Astyanax mexicanus: one gene and its partner. Each later gene encodes a partner of the first gene's protein in a complex. Links are inferred from orthologs where the notes say so. Each region holds a gene or a part of one and is shown on either strand. Other genes may lie near its edges.

The links. Proteins that work in one complex are often made in the same cells at the same time.
Region 2: the proteins of ncapd3 (region 1) and ncapg2 are in contact, whole or in part, in a cryo-EM structure (PDB 9F5W), measured with the Homo sapiens proteins. The link is inferred for Astyanax mexicanus from reciprocal best matches to the Homo sapiens genes NCAPD3 and NCAPG2. Residues at the interface, in NP_056076.1 of Homo sapiens: Glu1213, Lys1216, Ile1217, Pro1218, Leu1220, Gln1247, Ser1250, Glu1251, Tyr1254, Lys1258; in NP_001268861.1 of Homo sapiens: Phe291, Lys332, Pro333, Ile334, Trp336, Lys340, Ala341, Arg342, Arg347.

What each region holds. Positions count from the first base shown.
Region 1 is NC_064432.1:8,247,189-8,254,971, forward strand, and holds the start of ncapd3 (condensin-2 complex subunit D3), read right to left. Parts: upstream 3,082-7,783; 5' UTR 3,030-3,081; coding exon 2,978-3,029; intron 1-2,977. Other genes in the region: primpol (DNA-directed primase/polymerase protein), read left to right, coding at 6,259-6,441, 7,539-7,633.
Region 2 is NC_064415.1:4,512,428-4,519,564, forward strand, and holds the start of ncapg2 (condensin-2 complex subunit G2), read left to right. Parts: upstream 1-4,092; 5' UTR 4,093-4,140; intron 4,141-6,683; 5' UTR 6,684-6,709; coding exon 6,710-6,787; intron 6,788-7,137. UniProt on the Homo sapiens protein: Regulatory subunit of the condensin-2 complex, a complex which establishes mitotic chromosome architecture and is involved in physical rigidity of the chromatid axis.

The DNA of each region.
Region 1 (7,783 bases):
ATTTACTGAAGAAAATTCACATTACACTGCATTGCCATTAGGGGTGTCACGATCTCGATATTTTATCGAAATCGAATCGAAATGAGGTCATGGTCTCGAGTATCGAAGTCAAAAAGAGGATCGACGATCCCTCCCGCAAATAGCGCAGCGCGCTATGCAAATGGCCCGGCACCAACACAGCGCATCCTATTCATTTAATAGCGCAGCCCCGCCCTCAGTTCTGCTGTGTGAGAGACAGCTGCCTTTCAACCACTGAGGAGAAACTGAAAACGGATTTATAGAAATATAGACAGGGCTCTCAAGTTTTGAGTGTCGGCGGGAGTGTGATCACTGTTTTTTATCTGTCCAACGGGGGAGGGGGGGCGGGGGTTGGGCGCGCAGGTTTTGTATCTGTATCTGACGGAGGGGTGGGTGCGCGCAGGTGAGAGCGTGTGAACTCGCTGAAATGCGTGTGTTAGTGTGACTTGAGAACACTGACTATAGATCACAGTGAGGTGGATTAAAAATCTTAAACTTATAATTGACTACACCTGTTGCTTTCCACTGAATTAAAAAAACATTTTTCTCTCAGATAAAGTAAACACAAGCGTGTTTCTGACTAAAATAAAAGCTTTTCAGGAGAGATATAAGTTATGTGTAAATATTTATAAGACAATACCTGACAAAATCTGTTTTAATGACGTTAATAAACATCACTGTGACAGCGCTAGTCACAGTTTCACCACATCACTTATCTAACCAGCCTGTACTGATTTCTGCCCCCCAATAATGCTTTCAATAACCTCTAATAGCCTTTAATAGTCTTCAGTAGCCTTTAAAAGACTTACCTGGCGGCCGTGGTGTGTCCACTAAACTCCGTAGTTATAAACATCCTGAGGTTAGCAGCGCGCTAACTGACCTGTTTATAATGTAATCCGAGCAGTGCCTCCGTGTCGGCTGTTCTAACCTGCTGCTGTTAGCTGCTTGGGCTGAAAGATGAACTGTAGTGAGCTGTATTATCCGGTTAGTGGGGTTAAAACCTTTATTTGTTTACAGAAACAGTAAAAACGGACTGGCTGAGCTCTGTAGCCCGTGGCTGGGCTGTACTGAAGTAGTGAGCTGCGACTGCAGCTCCGACTAGTGGTTGGATGAAGAACTGCAGCTTCATGTAAGTGAGCAGTTTCACCATCCATCCACACACAGCTCTGATAAACTGCTTGTTTTAATAGTGCACACTGTTGCTACCAAAATAAGTCACTAGATGGCATTACCATATATATCTTAATAAATAATAATAATATTTATAATATTTATAATAATAATAATAATAATAATAATAAATATATTAAAATTTTATGAGGCATAAAATAATAACAAGAAAAAAAAACAAGAAAATCGAGAATCGAATCGAATCGTGACCCTCAAATCGAAAATGAAATCGAATCGAGGATTTAGAGAATCGTGACACCCCTAATTGCCATGAGAACACTGGCCAGTGTTCAACTAAAAAGAATTCATACTGTTTCTAAAAACTTGATTTATTGATTTGAATTAGCACTTAGACGGTATTAGTTTCTCAGGGGGACGTCTGTGAAAAATATTTAATACTTCTACTCAGTGATAAAACTCTTGTAGTTGTAAAAACAGGACGACCAGTGAGTTTTTAGGCTTTCTCGATCACATAACATCATGTTCAGTAGCTCCTCCATTTCCACTCTCCATGTTTTACATGCATCTCCGTGGAAACGAGCTCCCAAAATGTAACTACAGTGCGCGGCAGCGGACAAATAGCCATTTTATTAAACGCAAAGTGACAAAACTCAGATTTGCGTCCGGACGGGGCTAAAATTACCGGAGGGCCACGGAGTTCAGCGAAAAACAGTAGATACTTCAGCCTGTAATGTTCGCAGAGGACAGAGTCTGAGAAAACACATAGCTACATGGTCGTTCTGGACAGGAATAAAAATCACAGAGGACCCCCCCATAAACCAGAAAATGACCCCAGAACCCTCTGAGAAACTAATCCTGTCCAAATAGGGCTTTTATAAGACTCTCTACACATTTATACCATCCTGTAAGTTCCTCAAAGCATCCAAACACCACAAAGATCACATGATAATTACCAAAATATCAGTTGTTTATTTTTTCTACTACTTATTTCTGCTAAATGTATGAAACTGAAACCAAAACATAACTTTAATATGATTCGGAAATCAATTTTAAAATTGTCAATGATTTTTTATATCGCCAAAATTATCATTATCACAAAAAATTCCCTTAAATATTGTGATTATTATTTTAGAGCACTATCACTCACCCCCTACTAGTTATCAAACGCTAGTGAAATTCTTTCTGGAAGCTTCTATACGCAGTTAAAGATCAAATAAAAAGGTACATTCTCCAATTTAACTTCTGTGAAAACAGCAATAAACCTGTAGATTAATTCTATTAACTGCGATTAATCGCATTTGTTTTTCCACAGACGTAAATTATCATAGTGGATATTGAAATGTACATAAAAGAATGAACGTAAGAAATGTAAAATGCAATTGTATTTATATAAGTGGTGTCAATTAAAATTAATCAAATTCTATAAACCTCTCAACCCTATTCAGGACCCAGATATTCTTATTTATGCTTCGGTCAATTCATGAGTAACGTTACAAGTGAATTCTAAGCCAATTTTCGATTCTAAAAGACACATATTAATGCATTTTCTTAAAACAGTCTGTGGAGGGTAGAAAGATATTTATTGAACGAGAATAAAGGCTAACTAACGTTATTTAATTTAACTAACCCTAGCTAGGTAAGGTTAATGTTTTGGTTATCGTAAGTTAGATTAGCAACACCGGCAACCTAACCTAAGTAGGTTAGCTAGCTAATGAGCTACTTTCCGAACAAATGCGCTGTATTTTTTCGTATAAACTAAAGTACCTAATACTAAAGGTCTTAAACATTATTTTGTGTCCGCTCTCTTCATTATAAACGCATTAATTACCTGTAGAAACCGCGCTGAGTCTCAGCAGCTCCACGACCCGCATCAGCGCCATCTTTCATTTGAATCAACCCGCCAACCCGCCAACTGCTGCCGCCACAGCCGCTTTATAGCGAGCCTGCCCACTTTATTGCAGTAAAGGACTGCAAACCGCTAGGGGGAGCCCGCGAGTGAGTCAGAAATGAATGAGCGTGAATGGAGCTAAACGGCTAAAAACACAAATTAAAAATATTAACTAACTACTCCTCAGGGATATTTCTTAACAGTTTTATAGTAAATTAAAATACCTTACAAAAGCAGTAAAGAAAGCCTACTTTAATACTTTTATTTTGCTAAAGTAAACAGGTTTTAAGCCGTAAAGACGCTAGCGTTACTGCTATCGCTGTGAGCTGATTGGTTGGTGAGGTGAGGCGCGCTAGAGAGACGGTTTAAAAAGTGTATAACTGGAGTTTAAAATATTTTAAAATTATTTATACAGTGCTAAAACAATACATTTTGTGTTTTTTATATAAAATGAGGGCATTGTTTATTATAAAAATGATAAAACATTAATAAATTCTGATTTTTCTCATTTGCTCCATTAAAACCCATTCATTTTTGTCTCACTAGGGAGCGCCCCCTAGTGGCAAACACACTCTGAACACATGCTAAAGTGGGCAATCTCCTCTGTATACCTTCTCTGCTTCTCCTGCTGGGTGAGAGGGGCATGAATGATCTTCAATGTGCCCCTAAATCTTACCTCTTCTTTTACACTCAAAGATATTATCCGATATTAAAGAGGCACTAAACTCTAAAACATATTTTTTTCATTAATAGCTGAAATGTGTTCCTCTCAAGTAATTAAAACATACCACGTTATATGTTTAAAAGACTTAAAAAAAACGCTTGGGTGATATAGGCCTAAAATAATATCACAATATTTTAGGGTATTTTTGTAGTAACAATATATTTTTGGCAATATGACAATTTTTTTATTTAATCTCAGGAATATTATACTACAACAACTGAAGATACTACAAAAAGATTCATTTAAATGTAAATTAATATGTATAATTATAATAATTGTGTTAAGTTTGCCGTTTAGATCCATTCCCTCCCATTCATTTTGGTCTCCCTCGCTGGCTCCTTCTAGCGGCGCGCACTCACTATTCTCTGATGTAACGGCGGAGATGGGCGGTGTCCCAATAAACCCAAACCCAAGCGCTGTTGAGCTAGGGCACTTCTCTCTGTGTACTAGTGCACTAGCTGAAGGCTAGCCAGAGACAGAGAGACCACAGCGCACTAGATAGGGAGCGTAGTATAAGGAAGGGAGCTTCCTCCTCCAATCGGAACACAGCCGCAGCCCTAGCCGCGGAACAGCTGGGTTTCCCGGCGTGCCCCGCGGCCCCGCGAACATCAAAACAAACCGCGGCGGGTTTGAAAGTTTGGTTAGGAAGAAGCGAGGCGCTGAGAAAAGCGGAGAAACTGTAAAAACCGGGTTTTAGAGGATAAAGAATCGCGAGGACTGATTGGAACATGTGAAAAAGACTTTGGTTCGGTGAAAAGAGGCGTTTATAAGACTGTAAATCCTCAGGTTAACAGGTGAGTGTTCAATCTTTAGCTAAGCTAGCCTAGCTCAAGCTATCAAAAGTCCTGTTGCTTTAACGCCAGTTCTATAAACTAGTTCTCGCGAGATAATTAAGCCAACGCACAGTTACCTTGTAACTAATTAACGTTATCTCTCTTGACTCACAAGTATCAGGTCCAAAACAACTCTGCTAAACTCGCCAACTATTTAACTCAACTGTAACATTAATATTAGAGTTAACAAGAAAAGTGCATTTCCTGAAGAAAACACAGGATGGTTGCTATGTTGTTTCTAAGTGGTTGCTAGGCGCTTGCTATGGTGTCTGTGGTGTTTGCTAAGGTGTTGCTGCTAAGCAGTTGCTAGGTGGTTGCAAAGGTGTTGCTAAGCGGTTGCTTGGTAGTTGCTAAGATGTTGCCATGGTATCTGTGGTGGTTGCTACAGTTTTACTATTGTGTCTGTGGTGGTTACTAAGTAGTTGCTATGGTGTCTGTGGTGGTTGCTAAGTGGTTGCTATGTTGTTTCTAAGGTGTTGCTGTGGTGTTTGCTAAGCGGTTGCTAGGTTGTTGCTACGTGGTTGCTATGATGTCTGTGGTGGTTGCTAAGCTGTTTCAAGCAGTTGCTACGTGGTTGCTAAGGTGTTACTACTGTATCCATGGTGGTTGCTAAGTTGTTGCTAAGTGGTTGCTATGGTGTCTGGTGGTTGCTAAGGTGTTGCTGAGCAGGTTGTTGCTAAGGTGTTGCCATGGTATATGTATTGGTTGCTATGTAGTTGGTTGCTAAGGTGCTGCTAGGTGGTTGCTAAAGTGGTGCTATGGTATCGATGTTTGTTGCTATTTAGTTTCTTAGTGGTTGCTAAGTAATGTATTTACATAAATCGGATTATGTTTCCATGTGCATCCATGGTGGTTGCTAGGGTGTTGCTATGTTATCCGTGGTGGTTGCTATATTGTTTCTAAAGTGGTGCTAAGTGGTTGCTAAGGTTTTGCTATCTTGTTGGCGCTTGCTATGGTGTCTGGTGGTTGCTAACGTCTTGCTAAGCAGTTGCTAGGTGGTTGCTTAGGTGTTGGTGTGGTGTGCATGGTGGTTGCTATGGTGTCTGTGGTGGTTGCTAAAGTGTTGCTATGCGGTTGCTAGGTTGTTGCTAAGTTCTTGCTATGGTATCCATGTTGGTTGCTATGTAGTTTCTAAGCAGTTGCTTGGTGATTGTTAAGTTGTTGCTATGGTATTTATGTCGGTTTCTATGTAGTTTCTAAGGTGCTGCTAGGTGGTTGCTAAAGTGTTGCTATGGTATCCATGGTAGTTGCTTTGTTGTTTCTAAGGTGATGCTATGGTGTTGCTAAGAGGTTGGTAGGTGGTTGCTAAGTAATGTATTTACATAAATCGGATTACATGTTTCCATGTGCATCCATGGTGGTTGCTAGGGTGTTACTAGGTGGTTGCTATGATATCCGTGGTGGTTGCTAACGTGTTGCTAAGCAGTTGCTATATATATATATATATATATATATATATATATATATATATATATATATATATATATATATATAATATATATACATATATATATATATATATATATGTATATATATATATATATATATATATACATATATATATATATGTATATATATATATATATCATACTATATATTATAATATATATGTAATGTTTTTTTTTTTATTGTTTTGCAGGTGAATCTCCGGCTACAGTGTCAGGATGACGAAGGGAAAGTGGCTGGATAGAGTGAAGTCTGTAGAGCAGAGAGCTCAGTCCTTTCAATCTGCTCCTATTTGCTCTCCATATAAACCTCGCCTGTCTCGCCCGTGGCAGCCCTCTTCCGTCTGGAGGCTTTTCCCACGCCAGAGCGCCGCCATCGCCTTCAGCCAGCGCTGCAAACAGGTCATACAGCTGATTTCACTTCATAACTTCTAACCAATCAACTACTTGCAGAAATATTTAATAAAAATATACTGAATATTTAAGGCAGGGATTCTTAACAACCTTGGGGGTTGTGAATAGGGCTGGGTAATGTTTTTAAATTTTCAATACCGATGCGATACTTTGAATTCGATACTAAACCTCAGACAATACTTTTTCAGGACCTTTTTCTGATTTTTAAAAGAGAAAGAAAATACAAAAAACAACAATTATTTTTCATGCTACAGTAATAACATGTTGATACAGGGCTAAAGTTACTGCTCTTGATGTTTTTTTGCACCTCGTATACAGAGTTTTAGGGATAGGTTATGACTGAATGAGGATTTCGCATTCAGGACTGATTCTAGGCTCTTTGGGGAATGAGAGGAAAGTTTTTCCAAGCTGTGGAACAATTGTGTAATTCCATTCCTCTCTTTTTCTTAATAATTGGGAAAACTTTGGTCATTTGCTGTTGTTGTTCTATTTTACAGTAAGAAACAGCAGCAGGAGCTCCTTAGATAAAGCTGTTCTCATGTTTCTTCAAGTGGGACAAGCGTTTGACCTGACAAAGCTTATACTCTAAATCATTTTTCTCTAAGCATGTTGCTGTCTATTACTATATATTTTAAGACTTCCTTTTTGGAAATATATGTATAAAATTATGTTTCTTTCCTGATTGATTGTATTACCTGCTGTAAAACAAAAAATCTGCTTACAAATCTGCCAACCTAAATTAATATTATGAGGTCAAATCGAACCTCCTGCCAGAGATGATTTCAACGATAACAATAATAAGCAATATTTTGCATTATTTTAAAAAAAAAATTGTTGGTTAGTCACCATATTAACGAAAACTATATATTTAAGGCATTTTTTTGCTTGAAACACAAAAAAAACATTAAAATCACCATTGAAAATTTAAAACGGCACATATTTATTAAGCATTTATTAATTGTAAATATTATTAAATAAAAATAAATGTACATCCTATAAAGGGTTGAAAAGGGTTAAGAACCCCTGATTTAGGGCAACGCAACTTACTTGTAAGCATGCTGACTGTTTGTGTTTCCCTCTTTTAGGATGTGCATGTATTTGCTCTGGAGAAAGAAGGCACAGGTGCTGGACAGAGGGTTTATTTAGTGACCAGCTACAGTGAACTCTGGCACTACTACAGGTATGCTTCACTATTTATAAGAGAAGGGAAGCCGTAATTAAGTTATTTATGTTTTAGTATTTTGTTTTATATAATTATAAATCATATTATAAGTTATTGTGGAATATGTCTCTTGGTCAGTTCACCATGATTTGGTCTCAACCGCGTGTT
Region 2 (7,137 bases), on another chromosome or scaffold:
TGGAATTTGGGAGAAATGTTGTCTGTAGTTTGTAGAATAAAACAACAATGTTCATTTTACTCAAACATAAACCTATAAATAGCAAAATCAGAGAAACTGATTCAGAAACTGAAGTGATCTCTTAATTTTAATAATCCAGAGCTGTAGAATGCACATGTGTTTACACTCATCAAAAACCTCCTCAAACGATCAAACAACAACCGCGAGAGATAGAATCAGTGGATCACAGAATCCCGACGAGCTCATCTCTTGCTGTATCGGCCCTGTGCCTTCATTTCTTAGCCTTCAAGGTGAGCTCTGTACAGGTATTTATGCACTGTTTTGGGGAATCCTCTCAGATTTTGAGAATTGCAGGGGTTTGTACTGCTCTGTGTTCATCACAAGCAGATTTACAGCTTTAATCATTTATTATTTATTTGATTAACTGCTGTAAAAAAAACGATGTAGCATTTTTTATGAGAAAGCTGTAGAGTGACTGGACACTTTATTGGAAACACCTACCTTGTGCATCCACACACTGGGCATTTTATTGGAAACTTCTATCCCAAAAAACATTCGCTCACTGGCCACTTTATTGGAAACACCTACCATGTACATCCACTCCCAGGCCAATTTATTAGAAACACCTACCTTGTGCATCCACTCAGTGGCCACTTTATTGCAAACACCTACCTTAAACATCCACATACTGGCCACTTTATTGGAAACACGTGACATGTAGTTCCACTCACTGGCCACTTTTTAGAAACACTTACCCTTGTACATCCACTCAGTGGCCACTTTATTGGAAACACCTACTTTGTACATCCACTCCCAGGCCGATTTATTAGAAACACCTACCTTGTGCATCCACTCAGTGGCCACTTTATTGGAAACACCTACCTTAAACATCCACATACTGGCCACTTTATTAGAAACACTTACCCTTGTACATCCACTCAGTGGCCACTTTATTGGAAACACCTACCTTGTACATCCACTCCCAGGCCGATTTATTAGAAACACCTACCTTGTGCATCCACTCAGTGGCCACTTTATTGGAAACACCTACCTTGTACATCCACTCCCAGGCCGATTTATTAGAAACACCTACCTTGTGCATCCACTCAGTGGCCACTTGGAAACACCAATTTTGTACATGCACACACTGGCCAATTAATTGGAAACATCTACCTTAAACATCCACCCACAGGCCACTTTATTAGAAACACCTACCTTAAACATCCACTCACTGGCCAGTTTATTGGAAACCTCAGTTTTGTGCTTCCACTCACTGGCCACTTTAATGGAAACCCCAATTTTGTACATAAACACACTGGCCACTTTATTGGAAACACGTGACATGTAGTTCCACTCGCTGGCCACTTTATTAGAGACACTTACCCTTGTACATCCACTCACTGGCCAGTTTATTGGAAACCTCAAATTTGTTCTTCCGCTCAGTGGCCACTTTATTGGAAACACCTACCTTGTATATCTACTCACTCATTGGCCACTTTATTGGAAATACCAATTTTGTACACCCACACACTGACCACTTTATTAGAAACACCTACCTTAAACATCCACACACTGGCCACTGTATTGGAAACACCTACCTTGTGCATCCACTCAGTGGCCACTTTATTGGAAACCTCAATTTTGTACATCCACTCAGTGGCCACTTTATTGGAAACACCTACTTTTGTACATCCACACACTGGCCACTTTATTAAAAACACCTACCTTGTATATTTATATGAGATATGTAAATGAGAACCTCAGCAGGGTGGAGCTACAAGAGGGGTGTTTCCGATAAAGTGGCCAGTGTGAGTAAACTCTTTGCCAAAGAGAGTCCAGGCTGTGAACTCTGTACATTATTGAGTATTTCTGTGAGTCTGCTGTGGCCGTGACTTTTATTTTGAAATGCTTGTATTTGTATCTGCTGTACATTACTGTATATTATTATTATTATTATATTAAAAATCTCTGTACAGAAATCAGACAGAACGCTGTACAGACTGTACAGTAAAGCACTGTTAATTTAAAGCCTGCGAAACCTGTATGTAAGTCATGTAAGATTTTAAAAAAGATTTTTATTGATTAAAAATGTTTCATTTTCTGAATTTCTTCTTTCTTTTTCACATTCACTGTGCTTTTATTAATTATAATACTTACTATTTACCTGTTTATCAATAATCAACAGTGTTTTTTAAAATACTAGAAATAACATAACATTTTTATTTTATTATTAAGAGAAAATTAAATATTTAAAAGATTTTTTTAAGCAGTAGCTGCTAGCATTACTGCTACTGATGCTGGTGTTACAGTCAGAGCTCGTTTAAAAGGTGTATAACCAGAGTTTAAAAGCTTTAAAAAGTATGTCTGTCATACTAAAACATTTATATAATTCTGCGTTGAGAAAATTAGATTTTATTTTTCTGTATAAAAATTATGAAATATATTTATAAACTCTGTTTTACTTTGAGTTTACTCGGGAGGTATTTATTAATTAAATAAATATATATTTATATATATATTTTGGAATGGCTGCTGCTCTGCATTTGCTATTTCTTTTCCACATCCGCTGTGCTATTATTTATTATTAATTATAATAATTACTATTTACCTTTTTAGCAATAATCAACAATGTTTTTATAATAATAGGAATAACATTATTTTTTTTATTTCATCATTAATATAATTTAGAATATTTTAATTATTTTATTTTAAGAATGTACTGGTTTCTTGCTGTATCAGGTCGTCTTCCTTCAGTATTTTTAATTAATACTTTACAGAATATTAATATTCCTTTTAATGCTTTCTTTTTATCTGTTTAATTTACTATTTGATACAGCCGCTAGACGGAGCCCGCGAGGGAGTCCTAAATGAATGGAAGTGAATGGAGCTAAACGGCTAAATATACAAATGAATTATAGTAAATAACCCCTTTGATAGGATATACATTTCATTTTGGAAAGTACAGTTAAGTATTTTGCTAAAACAGCAAAGAAAATATACCTATATAATTGAGTTTTCCTTCAGTAAATGAGTTTTAGGTAGTAAAGACGCTAGCATGACTGCTACTGATGCTGGGGTTACAGCCAGGGCTCGTTAAAAATGTTTATAACTGGAGTTTAAAAGCTTTAAATGATGTCTGCTATGCTGAAACATTTTGCATATCATTACATATCATTGAGAAAATTATATTTTTTCATAATAGAAATGATTAAACATACATAAACTCTATTTTTTGCTCATAAGGAACCCATTCATTATGGGCTCACTCAGGAGCGCCACGATCAATTTCTGTTTATGTTAAAATCAGCGGGGTTTTGGCGACCTCTTGTGGACATCGCTTATAATTGCAGCTATTCTACGTGCAGTTGTAACGTACTCAGCTGCAAATATATCATACAATCCAATTTTTATATAGTATTTTTATCCTACATTAATATACTATTAATATACACTGTAAACCCAAAGTTCAGATTTGTCCTGTGGGAATTTCTTAACACCCAACTCCAGGAATTAATCTGCAACCTTTAAAGAAGGGGTAAAGAAGAATAAAAGAGTAGGGATCATGTTAAAAAAGAAAATTTGGTGTGAAATGAAAAGTATGAAATAACAGTGGATATGGGATATACCACGGTTTATCATAGGGCGTGATATGCGTGATTTATCATAGAGTGATATGACAAAATAAAACTCACATAACACAGGTATGCTTAAAAAATATGTTAAATATAAATAGTAAATATCTAACTGTGCACTGAGCAAAATATATAGCTACTTTATATATAATAAATGTATGGCAAATTATGTTTTTTTTAATTAAGTATTAAATTAACGACAATTACATATTTAAAAAAGACTAATACTTATTTTAGACAGTTAAACATTACTTCTCTTAATTCACAGTTATTCATGCTGAATTATATTATATTATATTATATTATATTATATTATATTATATTATATTATATTATATTATATTATATTATATTATATTATATTATATTGTGTCATTATAATTTAACGGTCTCCTCTCCGGCCAGCAGGGCGGCGCTCTCCGCTGTTATTGTAAACTCACGTCGCTTTGACGTCATGACGCATTTTGAAGGCGTTTGGGCGGGAAGCGCGCGGGAGGAGAGCGGCTGAGTGAGTGTTTACAGTGTTTACTAACAGAAACTGCTCTAAAAATGCTCTAAATAACTTTAATAACCCGAATTATAATTAAATTCAGATAATAATCCCTCACCGGCAGCGCTGAGCACACAGTTTACACCGTACAGCGCTGTTTAATCCGGTTTATCTCGGGTTTTTCCTCTCTGTTATTATCGGGCTGCGCTGAACCCTGAACGGTCAGGCTAGTTTAACTACTGTAACGTTACTGTTACTGTTCACAGGAAAGTGTTCAATATGACCCCGCTTAAACAGCCTGTCAGTAACTGTGTGAGTCAGTACATTTGTGCGTCTGTGAGGCAGTAAGTAAGTGAGTGTAACTAGCTAAGTAAGTCAGTCAGTGAGTCTGTAAGTCAGTGAGTAGGAAAAGTAAGTCTATAACTAGCTAAGTAAGTCAGTGAGTCTGTAACGTTAAGTCAGTCAGTAAGTTAAGTTAAGTAAGTCTGTTACTAGTTAAATCTGTAACTCTGTCAGTAAGTCAGTCTGTAGCTAAATATATAATTATCGGTGGTGGAAAAAGTAACTGAAAAATTATAATTAAGTAAAAGTACCTTTACTTTGCTAAAATTCTACTCAAGTAAAAGTAAAAGTACCCATCTAAAATTCTACTCAAGTAAAAGTAAAAATCTACTGGAGTAAAAGTAAAAAGTAACTTACTCAATTTAAAATGTACTTTGAGTAAAAGTTACATAGCTACTTTTAATTATTTGATGTAAAAAAGTACAACAAATCATAAATCAAATTGTTTTAAATGAACTATTATTCCTCAAAATAATTTGGACCTTTCAGGCAGTAATTATTTGTTCAGACCACCCCATAAAACATTTTCAAGAACAAGTGGTATAGGTTTCTATCATCCATTTATTTTCTTTACTGTTAGAAATTATGGTCATATAGGTGAATATAAATCGTATTTTTATAGTTTTACAGTTCATTCTTATTTTTTAACTTGCCATTCCTGTGCTTTAACTGCTATTTACATGTTTTTTTTTAACATTCAAGCAGATTGTTTAATGATAAAAACCACATGCTTTCACAGGTTTGATGTGGAAGTTTTGAAAGCTGATAGCTCTGTCGGACGGGGCACATTTTGCATTGCCTGAGGACGTTATTGCCTCGTTTTTTAAATTTTAATTCAGACAATTGTTTTTTTCCCAGCATTTTATTTTCTACTCAGTAACGAGGAGTTTTCCAATATAGTGAAGTAAATTGTGTCAAAATGTACTTGAGTAAAAGTAAATTTACCTATTTTAAAAACTACTTTAAAAAATTACAAATTACTCAATTACAGTAATGTGAGTAAATGTAATTCATTACTTTCCACCTCTGATAATCAGTGAGTATGTAAGTCTGTAACTAGCTAAGTATGTACCTGAATCAGTGAGAGTGAGGATGTCTTTAATTATCTAAGTAAATCTATAATTAAGAATTGAACTAGCTAAGTAAATCTGTAACTGAGTCAGTAAGTGAGTCAGTGAATCAGTCAGTAACTAAGTCTGTTAAGTAAGTGTGCTATTTTGAAAGAGGCTGAATTATGTGAATTATGATTTCCATCCATCCATCCATCATTCCATCATTTTATCAAAATCAATGGGGAAAAAAGCTTCAGTGATTCTGAAAGATCCAGTAGATACAGATACATCATTTTAGTACTTAAGTACAGAAGAGAGAGTTATTTCTATGTTCTGTAATAATCAGAATATGACACTCTCTCGATCTCTCCTGCTTCCCCTTCTCCACTCCTCTATCCCGTTATTTCCCTTTAACCTTCTTTAGGCCCTATTTAAAGATGTTTTACCTTAAACTTTTATTACTTTTGTCCTTCACTATTGTAAGTTGCTTTTGGCGTCTGCGAAATGTAATGTAATATATTTTTTGGATACCTGTGGGTGATAGGATTCTTCTTCTTATTATTATTATTATGAAACATTATGCTCTAAACTAGATGTGGGCGAAATGGCAAAAAACAATCACAATATTTCAGTGTATATTTGCGATAATATTCTTGGCAATATGAAAAAAATAAATAATTTTAAGAATTTACTACTGCAACAAAATTAAATAACTTTAGTATAAATGTTACTGTCTCATACATTCAGTAGAAACAATCTATAAACATTTGTTCATTTCATTAATAGCAACTGACCAAGATCCTTAAATAACAAAACACATACATAGTAGAAAGCTTGACTAGTTTTCAAGAACATCACTCATTGAGTACAATACGATATGGAGCACCTCTACTTTGAACACACGTATTTTTATTGACACAGTCAGATTATTTATTATATTATCATAAATGTGCTGCGTTATGAATTGATTAATGGCAGATGCAACATTTATCTTTGGTAACAGCCGTTTATGTTGCTGAGTTTTCTTAGTGTTTGAGTTATTCTCTGAGCTGGATCCATGTTGCACACTGAACTGGTGCATCCTGGGAAGTCACATGATGAGGTTTGGTAAAGAAATTGTAAAGGAGCAGATCTAACCTTGTTCTCTTTGATCTTGTTTTTTTTCAGGAATCGTTCAGGTTTAATCTGAGAAGATGTCGAAGAGAAAGGAGTTCCTGGATTCTGTTCATCCGGACAAAGTTCAGGACTTTCTCAACTTCATTAAGCTACACGTATGTACTCGCATCTGATGAACCACCAATACTTAAGCTAAAAATGTGTATAAAAAGTCATATAACAGTTTGTGGAGCATTTTGTCTTGAGATATACATTTGTATTGAATTATTTTTTTAGTGCTTTTATTTAAATAAGGGACATGAGGCCACTAAAGAAAAATTTGTTACCTGAAAATTAGTTCAGCTAGGTAGTCTTTACTTGCAAAATATACACTATATGGATAAAAGTATTGAGACTCAATATTTTTTTCAGTCCCTTTGGTGTAGGTGTAGAGTATATAAAGAATGGGATGTCGTTAAAGTCCCTGTAGGTGTAATGTAAAGGTGTCCCAATACTTTTGCCCATA